Linked DNA regions of Macaca mulatta. The protein of the gene in region 1 binds, or shares a complex with, the protein of each later gene. Links are inferred from orthologs where the notes say so. Each region holds a gene or a part of one and is shown on either strand. Other genes may lie near its edges.

The links.
Region 2: HDAC2 (region 1) and CDK2AP2 share a complex: the UniProt entries of both Homo sapiens proteins name them as parts of the nucleosome remodeling and deacetylase (NuRD) repressor complex. The link is inferred for Macaca mulatta from reciprocal best matches to the Homo sapiens genes HDAC2 and CDK2AP2.
Region 3: HDAC2 (region 1) and CDK2AP1 share a complex: the UniProt entries of both Homo sapiens proteins name them as parts of the nucleosome remodeling and deacetylase (NuRD) repressor complex. The link is inferred for Macaca mulatta from reciprocal best matches to the Homo sapiens genes HDAC2 and CDK2AP1.

Annotation. Positions count from the first base shown.
Region 1 is NC_133409.1:19,038,165-19,041,907, forward strand, and holds the start of HDAC2 (histone deacetylase 2), read right to left. Parts: upstream 2,328-3,743; 5' UTR 2,115-2,327; coding exon 2,063-2,114; intron 1-2,062. UniProt on the Homo sapiens protein: Histone deacetylase that catalyzes the deacetylation of lysine residues on the N-terminal part of the core histones (H2A, H2B, H3 and H4).
Region 2 is NC_133419.1:6,872,685-6,876,427, reverse strand, and holds CDK2AP2 (cyclin-dependent kinase 2-associated protein 2), read right to left. Parts: upstream 2,306-3,743; 5' UTR 1,841-2,305; coding exon 1,759-1,840; exon of another isoform or gene 1,608-1,758; intron 1,602-1,607; exon of another isoform or gene 1,557-1,601; coding exon of another isoform or gene 1,448-1,556; coding exon 1,350-1,447; intron 1,256-1,349; coding exon 1,123-1,255; intron 770-1,122; coding exon 702-769; 3' UTR 274-701; downstream 1-273. UniProt on the Homo sapiens protein: Acts as a component of the histone deacetylase NuRD complex which participates in the remodeling of chromatin.
Region 3 is NC_133416.1:130,673,298-130,677,040, forward strand, and holds the start of CDK2AP1 (cyclin-dependent kinase 2-associated protein 1), read right to left. Parts: upstream 2,389-3,743; 5' UTR 2,322-2,388; coding exon 2,213-2,321; intron 1,432-2,212; exon of another isoform or gene 1,278-1,431; intron 388-1,277; coding exon 293-387; intron 1-292. UniProt on the Homo sapiens protein: Inhibitor of cyclin-dependent kinase CDK2. Also acts as a component of the histone deacetylase NuRD complex which participates in the remodeling of chromatin.

The DNA.
Region 1 (3,743 bases):
GGACTAGTGCCTGCTCCCATTCACACAACAAAGATTATCACAAATGGACCCACGACAAGAGAGCTGTTCAGAAACTGCTACTCAAGTGTACCCTCCTGGTTCTAGGGTTCCACTGTGGTGACAAGAAATTACAAGCAGCTTCCTTCATCAGAGCCCATCACTACCAACAGCAACTGACAGCTTCCAGAAGAACCTCAGTACCACTTTCCCTACCCAAAACCTTTCCTCTTTACTCCAACCCTTGACAAGGATAAATCTCTAAACTTCATAAACAAGGTAATTCTACAAATTAACTTATACACAGGGTTACTTCCTTTCCAATTTGATCAAGGAATGCAGGGCAAGAATAACCCAAAATATGCAATGTAAATCATGTTGAAATTAAAATGTATTTCCATCTCCACCCCTCCACGATGGCATAATTTCAAATCAATTTATATAACACATATCTGGTCCTCTGAAAAATCATTTTTTAAAAGGGCTGTTATTATTCTGTCCTAGCTATCGCAGATCAGACAATTCAGATTTATTCTGTAAGATTTCAGATTTTCTCCAAATGACACAGGTGGTTATTTTATATATAAGAGTCATTAAAAGATTAATCCTTTTTAACTAAAAAGAGAGTACGGCCATTTACAAGTTAAAGGCAGATTTATTCTAAGCTGGTGCTCTAGGTTCTTACCTCTCTAAGATACTGTGATTTACAATACACCAAATGTAGGAAACAGCTTCCAAAATTTGTATTGCTTCATACAAATCAGGACTTTCAGGTCAAGGAGCCTAGGATAGGTTCTCTGTTAAATTTTGGAATCCTTTTTCTCAAGAGTAACCTACTAGAAACTATTTACCAAGCCTTTGTGAAATCTGTAAAACAGGTTACTACTCCATTCAGCCACGAAACAGGATTCGAAGATTTAATATTACTGCTCATACTCCAAATTATAGAATGCTTAAAATTATCTGACTTTTGTAATTCACTACACGGTGAGCTCAAATTTACCTTATTAGAATATTTAGTACTTCTGCACTTCTCCCACTTCTCAAAGTTTTCCCACACCAGGATGCCCACCACCTAGGAACAGCCTTTGCAAGATACCAGTGCTCTCTAAATCCCCAAAGCAGGGTCGATTTCCCGATCGAACAAAGAGCAACAAAGAAGTGGGTGGTAACCACCACTCTCAGAGGCGAGCCAGGACCCATCGAGTGTGATCTACAACACAAGCAGTAGCAGTTCCACATCTCCCTACCACCTCTTACTTCCTGCGAAGGCTTTCTGCCTGAAACTGGAAAATCCGAACTATTATTGAGGAAGTGGAGCCCGTCCATTTGAATCCTGAGAAAGAGGCGCTCAAAGAATCCGGCGAACAAAGGAGAGGGTTGGAGCCCACGTAAAACATGGGTGTGATAAAGCCACACGCCGGACTTGAGCCCCCACCCTCAGTAACTACTCTCCAGCGCCCACCCGGGAGGAGGGGTCCGGGGAAAGACTGGAAGCCGAGGAAGGAGAAGACGCTCCGGCCAGACCCAACGCAGGGGAGGGGAGGCGAGCTGGCGAGGAGGGGGGAAGGGGACAGGAGGGGCGGAGCTCTCGCGGCCGCGGGGCTTTGTGTAGAGTCAAGGCCGGGGTAGAAATTTTGCCTCGCGGGGGACGGGTCGAGGGGATAGAAAGCCTACGCCGGGCACCCCAAACCTGCGCTGCCACGAATGGTGGGCAGGAGAGAGGAGAGAATGGGCCGCCCCCTTCCCCGCCACCACCAAGGCGGGGTAGGCCGGCGCCGTCCCCAGCAGCGGCCACCTTCGAGGCTGCGGACGGCACGGACGAAGGGGGAGAGGCAGGAGACAAGCGGGGCGGCCCCCCGATTCCCGCCCGCAGGAGCCGCGGGTGCTGCGCGAGGAAGACGGTCTCGTTCTAACCGCGCCGGGCCGGGAACGGGTTAAGATGCGGCCAAATGTCGGTCCCTCCTCCTTCCCACCCCTCAGCTCCGGCGCCCACTCGCGACGGCGGCCGCGGAACCCAGCACCCGGCCCGCGCGCCCACCCGGACACCGGCCCCGCAGCTCACCGTCGTAGTAGTAGCAGACTTTTTTTTTGCCGCCTCCTTGACTGTACGCCATGGACTCCCCGGCCACCGCCGCCTCCGGGCTCCTCCTCCTGCTGCTGCTGCTGCTGCTGCTGCCGCCGCGGCTCGGCCGGGAGAGAAAAGGGCTAAGGGAAACGTGGGGGCGGTAGTCCCGCGGGGAAGGGCAGGTCGGTGGGAGGAGAGGAGGGGGCGCCGGGAAGGCTGAGGTGCCGAAAGCTCGGAACCGGGGGTGGCAGCGGCACCAACTAGCGACACGGGAGAGGGGAGGGGGCCACCAAACCACCTCCGGAGGCCGCAGGGAGGTGGGCGCGCCCACTGCGGCCTCCGCGGGGGAGGAAGGGGCACGGCTGGAGAAGGAGGTCGCTTCGGGCTCGAGATTAGAGGCCCTCTGAGGGTGAACAACCTGCGCAAGGCGGCGCCATACACAGTCTTAAAATGAGGAAGAAGACAACCTTTCGCTGCGCAAGTAGATCCAGGGAGCGTGCAGCCGGGTGAACGTTCGCCCCCCCTCAGGTCTGCGCGCAGTGGTTGCGCCTCTCCCCGAGCCTGCGCAGTCGGCGCCTCGTAGCCTTGGCGGTCTGGACCCCTTGTCGGCGTCCCACGCTGCTCCCCTCCCCCACTGCCGCGAAGCTCCCGCCCGAGCCGACCACGTGCCGGGAGCCCGGCGGGGAGAGCCCACTCCCGCGCCCCTTCCGGGCCCACGACCGCGCCGGGCTGCGGCCCATCGCCCCAGTGCCTGGTAGCCTAGTTTTCTCGTTTGTCGTTTGTTCATTTATTATTATTATTATTATTATTGTTTTGGCCCGTAATGGGTAGGAGGTATAAAGGGACCTATCACTGATGTTAAGGGGAGAGGGTACCGCTTGGGTTTTAATAAGCATTTGTGGAGCTCATTTATAAGATACAGTTCTAAGCACTTAAATTTATATTTCATTGATAATCTATTTATAATAATCTCACTTAAGGCTCCCAACAACTCTAGGAAGTAAGTGGTAATTGTACTCCTTCATTATAGATGGAGACAGATGAAGGAACTTGTTCTTACTGCTAACTGATATGTCTGGAGGTTTGAACTCATTCTGCAAACTCCACGCGCCTTTGCTGTTCCACTCTGCAGCGATGCTGCTGCCTAGACACCGGAAGATTGGAGCAGAAAGACTTTCGAAACTCTTGGAAGTTATGAATATATGTGTTCCTGTGTTCAGTAAATACACATTTATCAAGCACCTACCCTAAGCCAGCCACCTTGCAGGTGAGGGCTAGAGGCTAACAGCCTGTTTCATAGCACCCATCCCGATTATATAATTTAAGATTCCCCCTCCCCCACAATACACCCCTCTTAAAAAAAAAAAAAAAAAAAAAAAAAAAGCTGTATTGATGCTGGAATTTTAGAGCCACTACCAAAAATACCCTTTTTATTTTGCTGTTTTACTTCAAAATCCCGAAAGTGTTCATGCTTAAAGCAGCAATTTTTCCCAACCTCACCCCCAAGAGATTTAGAAAAAGTCCAGGGTGGCCCCTGCCCTCCCTCTGCCCCCTCCTCTGTATTTTTAACAAGACCCCAGATGACTGATGAAGTTGCTAGAGAAATTACGGTGAGTGAAGCACTGGCCTAGAGGTAAAGTTAATTGACCTTCTAAGTTGTGCTCTATCAAGTACAAAA
Region 2 (3,743 bases), on another chromosome or scaffold:
CCCATAGCGCCAAGGGCTGTGGAAGCAGCCAGGCCCTGTGCTGCCCCCTGGTGGCACCACAGGAAGGCCCAGGGCTCTCAGCGCCACGGCTGGGGCGGAGAGGGCCCGGTTCCCACCTGAGGCTGATGGCCCACAGAGGCAAGTCAAACCCTGTTTAGTCACACCCTCCCCACTCCTAGTCTCCTCTTCCCCTTTCTCTGCCTGGCCCACCCAGGTTTAGCTGAAGAACCAGACCCAGAAAGGCTCAGAGCTGAGAGCACAACTCCAAATCATCTTTTATTAATATAAAAAGGGCATATTTAGCAAAAGACACACAGATAAAAGAGTCACTATGGCTCAGGACACAAGGCAGTGAGGTGCCAGGCCTGAGCCCCTGCTGGGGGAGAAGGAGGCTCGGGACAAAGTGGGAGAAGGGCTGGGAAGGGCTGAGCGGTGGGGACCACAGAAAGTTCCGGTGGGCAACACTGTTGGCAGGTCATGGGTGGGACTCATGGGGACCTCGCTGCTAACTCTTGTTGTGGGGGGATGTCCTTAGTGCTGCCACCTGGAGAGCCGCTCCTTGGTTCCTGGAGGGGACCCACCAAGGGACACAGGACAGGAAGCCCAGGATGGTTAGTGCAACTCGGGATGAAGGCCAGGGAGAAGCGGGTGCTCTGCAGTGGCCGGGAAAGGTCCAGACGCTGAGGCCGGGGCGCTTCCTGTTACGTGCGGGCGTTCCGCTCTGTCTCTGCCAGGCACTCTCTGACTAGGGCCCGAGCATGGATGATACCTGGTGGTGGGGTGGGGTCTCAGCAACCCTCCACAGCCCCACCCACTGCCCTCCAGAGGAGGACCCCTGCCTCCCCACTCCCTTTCCCCTTTCAGCAAGAGAAATTCCAAACTAATGACGGCTAGATGAGATTAGAGGTTTGGTTAATCCTCAAGGTTGCCCTGTAGAAGTACAAATTCCCAGGCTCTTCCCTGGAAATGGACGCAATTTCAATTCGATTCAAAACACCTCTCTGGGTAGTAATACTGGCCCTCCTCTAGGCTTGGCTCAGGTGGCCTCCGGATGTCTTTCTTTCCCTAATGGAAGATAGTCCAGTGTCGGTTTCCTAAGCAGGGCGGCCTGGCCTCACTTACCTCTCTTCAGGCGCTCCATGGCGCTCTTGCTGCCAGCATATGTGGGCCGGATCTCTTTGCCCATCTCCTCTATGACTGACAGCAGGTCCGTGTAGGTGCTCTGGGAGCCCTGGGCGCCGGGTGGCTTCATCGCCTATGTCAAAAGAGAACAGGGCAGTGAGCTCAGGCACCTGGCGGGGAGGGGGACTCCAGTCCCCATCCATAAGCAAGCCTTTGGCCCCACTCACCTGCACGTAGCCCATGGAAGGCGGTCCAAAGTCGTTAAACAGCGGTCTAAAAGGAGCGGCGGCTCCTGGCACTGAGCCCGACGGCGACGGGACGCTTCCTGCAGCAACAGGCGCGAGTAAGAGGTCAGCGCGGGGCAGGGACGCCGCCTCCCAGCTTTTCCAAGCCCAGGACCGGGTTCGCCCGATTCCCTCCAAAGGATGCTTCATTCCAGGCTGATCAACTTCAGGGACAAATCCCTCCCACTGCGCTCCACCTACAAGCCCTTACGTGACCACGCCCACTTCACAGGCCAGCAAACTGAGGCTCAGCGAGGGTAGGCGGCAAGCCCAGTATTGCAGAACTCAGGCCGTCTTCTCTTCGAGACCTCGACCGCCCGGCAGGCGAGCAGGGGTGGAGCTGGATCCTCACCTGTAGGGACCGGGGTGCCCGGCCCAGGGGTGCTGGAGCCAGGGGTGCTGCTGGGGGCAGGGGCGATGGGTTTGTAGGACATCCCCAACTCCTGGGCGCGGCGGACGCCAGCCGGCCGCTCCTCGGGGGTTGGCTGCCGGGCCGCTCAGCCGCGCTCTGATTGGCAAGCGGGCTGCACGCCCCTGGTAAATAGAGGTCTGGCCGGAAGGGCGAGCGGGCACGAATGCTCCCTCACTCCCGATTGGTGGGCGAAGATGTCACTCGAGCCTCCTTATTGGCCGAGACCTGCCCCAGCAGGTCGCAACCGCCGCCGATTGGCCTCCGCCTTCCGGACCTCGCACCTGTCTGCTCCGGATTGGGCGGTGGCCACCGCCCTCCGCAATTGGCGAGTTCGCGGCCCGGGCCGGCGCGCTTTCAATCCGATTAGTCCCCAGGCCCTAGAGGCGGGGCCTCGGGAACCCGGACCCGGGGCTGGGCCGCCGGTTCGCGCCGAGGGTGTCTTCCCGGGCGCGGGCGCCACCCTCGCGCCTCACTAGCGCTGCTTCAGACGTCTGCTCCGCTCTGCCCAGTTTCGGCCCAGCAGGGGTTGCTGTCGCCGCTGCCGTGGCCGCTGTCACCGCTGCCGTGCGCGCTTCTCTGCTCCGGGGGCCGAAGGACGCAGGGCTTTGACGTCCCGAGCCCCGCGCCCCACCCCGTGCGCTTTTACGTCACCTTTCACCGGTTCAACACCCTCTCCCCGATCTGCGCATGCGCCCGCCCGAGGCCTGCGTTTGTTCCCATGGCAACGGGCCCTTCATCTATGCCGCCGCGCACCGTTCTTCCTGAGGCTTGGCTTGTCCTCAGGTCCAAGGGCGACCTCAAGGACCCCTTTGCCCTCACCCCCAAGGCCCCGCGCCGCTGCCTCAGTTAGTGATAATGGCCGTAGGGCAAACAGGGATTACTTGTGTGCCGGGCCCCGGACCAAATTGGTCAAGAGCACAGACTGGAGCCAACCGCCTGGGTTCGAATCTCAGTACCACCCCCACTAGCGATTTCCCCCAGGCAAGTTTCTCACCTCAGTATGCCTCAGTTTCCCCATCCGTAAAATGGGGAAAATGACAATCTCATTGGGTTGTGTGGATTAAATGAATAGTCATAAAGAGCTTCCTGTCCCACTCCAGGGCCCCCATACCTTTCCACTCCACCACTCAGACCCCTCCCCTCAAATCTCATTCGCCATAAACTTAGACCTCAGACCCTCCTCCACTCACTAACCCTTTCTCCCAGGCTCCTTCCCCAAACTCAGACTTCTCTGGCCTTGTGTACCTTCATGCTCCCAGCTTTGTAGATCTTAATCTCCAGGACAGTCATTCATTCATTCATTCATTCATTCATTCATTCATCCATCCATCCAACAAACATGTTCTGGCCCGGCGCGGTGGCTCACGCCTGTAATCCCAGCACTTTGAGAGGCCGAGGCAGGCTGATCACGAGGTCAAGAGTTCGACCTCGTGATCGAACATGGTGAAACCCCTGTCTCTACTAAAAATACAAAAATTATCTGGGCGTGGTGGTGGGCACCTGTAATCCCAGCTATTCGGGAGGCTGAGGCAGGAGAATCGTTCAAACAGAAGTTGCAATGAGCCGAGATCGTGCCATTGCACTCCAGCCTGGGTGACAGGGCAAGTCTCCGTCTCAAACAAAAACAAAAACAAAACCCAAGAAACCACACAAAAACCATGTTCTGACTCCCTCCTCCATCTCATGCTTTGTACTGAACCCTGAGGTTAAAGAAATGAACAGGCCATGGCCTCTGTACTCAAGGAGGCCTTATTCTCTGAGACAGTGAAGCAACATCTTCCTTACATTGCAGTAAGTCAGTGGCCACAAGGGAGAACGGGACAGGGTTCATTGGAACTTAGAGGAAGGGCCTGCCGGGTGGCATCACAGAAATATCTCCAGAGCAGGTGGCATTCGAGTAGGTGAGGGTGGAAGCAGAGACCGAG
Region 3 (3,743 bases), on another chromosome or scaffold:
GAGGAGACCCACCAGAGGAGCGCGTGGGGTGGGGGCCGCAGCGCAGCTCGGGCTGCTGCCCCTTCCTGGTGCTCTCCTGTCCGCTCCACCTCACACGTCCCTGCGAAACACAGTCCCCAGTGCCCTCCATTCTGATGTGTTCTGAGCCGGAGCCCAGTCAGGGCCTTGGGCTGAGAAAGCTCTGTCCCATACTTTCTGCTCCTTCGTCTCTTCCACCAGCTTCTCTCCTCTGATGGTGGGGAGCATGTCTCCCCCCAGCCCTCCCACCATGCCATCACCCCCATTGCCATACCTGGGTGTAGCCTAGGGATGGTGGCCCGTAGTCACTGAGCAGCTGGCGGTACTGTGAAGACGCCATGCTGGTGGAAGGAGAGTGGACACTCCCAGCTGTGGGGTGGGGAGAGAGAGGCCAGGAGTCAGCTCAGCCAGTTGTACCAAGGCAAGGACTCCAGGTCCTGCAATGGCCCTTGCCCAGGACCCACACCACCAACTGTAGCAGGATAGAGAACCCTGCTCTCCACCTCTAGTCTGACCAGTGTAGAAGACGGATAATGAAATGTAGCTACAAGGCACTCGGCCATCCCCAGCTCTGTAGCAGCTGCTGGTCCTCACAGAGCTCCGTCCTGTCCAACCAGAACCTTCCAAGCAGCAGGGCTGCTCCCAAAGATAAAATTACTGCCACTCCTGGCCTCATCCCTGCCCATCCCCTCTCCCTGTGTCCTGGCCCCAGAGGATGAAAACCTAGAGGCCACATCATACCACAAGAGCCCACTGCCATGGAGGCTGGTCCAAACCAGCGGAGCTTCCAAGCCTTTTTGTCCTATGCACCGAAATCTCTGCTGTGCTCAATGACGGGGAAGATGGGAAGGCCTTAGAGTATTTGAGACCCAACCCTGGCTGGAGACAGGCATGCTGGACATCAAATTAGGAATCTAGAGAACACCACGGCCTCTGTGTGCCCCAGATAAAGCCCCTCAACCTCTCTGTGCCTGTCTCCCCCTCCCCAAAGGGGGACCAGACTCTTGGCAGTCTATGTCCCAACGGCTCTGCATTCCAAGAGAGGAGGGTTGAGGCCCCACATATGGGATGCAACATTGGGGCCTGTCCAGGGCTGCAGTCAGTGACCAAGCAGGGCCCAGCCCAGAACGCAGCCTCCTGGATCTGGGAGGGGAGTCTGAGGCTGGGAGCACGCGGCCCCGCAATGGCGTCCCAGTGGCCATTAGCGGGTAAAGGATATCCTGCAGAATGACAAACAGCGGTAACCATGGAGAATTTACCTAGTCCTCCTCGGCAGCTGCCCGCCTGCCGCCCCCAGAGCCACACGGTCTCTCTCTCACACACACAGCGGGCGCTGCAGACTTGGCCTCGGGGATGGACAGCTGGTGCCAGGCTGGCCAAACCCACCAGCTGCTCACTTGGTGTGGGTGAGGGGAGGGGCAGAGGAGGAAGGAAGTTCAGGGCCTCAGGCTGGGGGAGCCGGGAGGAGCCCTGGAGAACCCTGGCTCCAGGCCCCTCTATTTAGAGACATGGACCTGAGGGAGTTGCCCCAGGGCACACAGCATAGCACCTGCCCCTCCATGCAGGGAGCCAGCTACCTCAGCACCTGCCCCTCTGTCCAGGAGCATCCGGGAGCGGGGACAGTCCCGAGTTGTCTCCCTGAGTCTCAGGCCAGCCCTGGATGCCACCACTGCAGCCCAGGGTTATGCTCCAGCTTGGGCTGGACCTGGAAACGTGGACTTGGATCCTGAACTGGGCAAAGCACCATGCCACTCCGAGCCTCAGTTTCCATGCCTCCCACATGGGGATGACGAGACACGTGTGCTACAGGGATGGGCGGCTTGGGATGGGGAAGCACTACGCCCGCGATATCCGGCACGTCCACGGCCACTGCAGGAATTGGGCAGGGCGATGTCCCCCAGCGCCCCCTCACCACATCAGCCAAACCCCAGTTTCCTGAGCTTCTGATGTGGCAGCAAGCGTGGCATGGGGAACACAGGCTCTGCTGGCAGAGACCTGGGTTTCGATCCTGGTAGCTACACCTCTCTGGCCTCGAGGGCCAGTCTCTGGGAGGGACCATAGAGCACAGCACCCTGGGTGTTTGCAAGATCCCAGCAGCCTGGCAGGAGGGGCGCTAGCCACTTCCCACGCACCCTCGAATCAACTCGGTGTGCCCCCGTCCTCTTCCCCAACTGCTTTGCCCACTGCTCCTCACCTCTCCTTTTCTGTCCTCCCCACTGGACTTGGCGCCAGCCCCAGCTGTGCCACTCCTGGCTGTGTGACCTCAGACAGGCCCCCCGCCCTCCAGTCCTCAGTTTCTCCATTTGTTAGAGGCAGTGCTTCCCAAGAGAAGGTCTACAGGCTCCAGACCCTACTATTTGATGATACTGGGGTTAGGTTTTGCGGGGCTGAGAGGAAGGAGGAATGAGAAATTGTCCCATTTTGGCTGGGGGGACAAGGAGCAATAGCTCGGTGACTCCAATGCTCTGTCCAGGCCAGTCCCTTGTTCAGGGTTGAGTGGGGGGTGTCTAGTCCTGGAGAGAGATGGCGGAAATGCCCCGAGTTCCACTCATGGTCACTCCTTCCTGCAGACACAGGGACCGGGACACAGGGACCACGTCAGCGCAGGCCGTCTCGGCGCATCTCAGACAATGAGCGCAGTGTGCAGGAGCGAGGGGTTGGCAGAGGCCAGGAAGCTCCTGGGGCCAGGCGCGGCTCCCCGCCCCCACGCCAGACAAAGAGCGCCGGGGCCTGGGGAGCTGGCGGCCTTCCCGCCACTTGGGGCGCCTGGGGGGCTCTGGGGCGGGGGAGGCGGGGGCTTTGTCTAACTCCGCCACTGCCACCACCGGCCAGGCCGCGGCTTGGCAACCCGTGAGCAGGAGGCAGGGCTGCAGGGCGTGAGGGATGATGACAAGGAAGCCGGAGGAGCAGCGGCAGCAGCGGAGAGTCCATCTTGGATGCAAATGGCAGGAGGGGAGCTGGGGTTCTGCAAAAGGGTCCATGGGGGAGAGGGAGGGGCACCAAAAAGCCCAGATCTGGGGATCTCGGCACTCCTGAAATTCTCCACAGAAGAAAGAGAAGAAAAGCTGAATACAGGTGCAGCCAGCTCAGAACAGGACTTCAGGGGTCCCCGTGAGTGCCGCTATCCCTGTGACCCCAAACCCTGAAGGTCCCAGTTTAAGGCCCCGGCCCCAATGACACCAGGTCAAGCCTGAGCTGTCAGCCTTGCCCAGGCTGGCAACACCAGCCCCTGCCCTCCCCACAGGCCAGAGGAAGAACGCTGCTGGCAGTCCTACCTGGCAACAAAGCCCGTCTTTGTAAGGTCTGCGGACCCCAGAGGAGGTGAGAATGTTTGAGAAGAAAACAGTGGCTGTTTGCTCTTTGGGACTCCGAGCCCACAAGTGAGCAATTCAACTCTCCCTCAGCACCCTGACGATTAACCCTTTCCTGCCCCTACACCTCAGTGTCCAAGGTTTTTTTAAATATCGTTTTTATGGGTCCTACTTCGGATGTGGGAGGTTTATGAAGTCAACGTTTGCAAACAAGGCCCAAAACTCGAGCAGGAGAGCCAGCGTGGCACCGGTGACCAACGGGGCCACTCCTTTCCCTCCGAGTCCTTACCCCCCACGCCCCGCAACACAACCGCCTTTTGGGAAGTCTGTTTCCGACCAAGTGTCAGAGAAGAGGGGCCCCAGTGAGGTCACAAAGCCCGGCACCTACCAATCCCTCAATGTTGCGCCCACTCC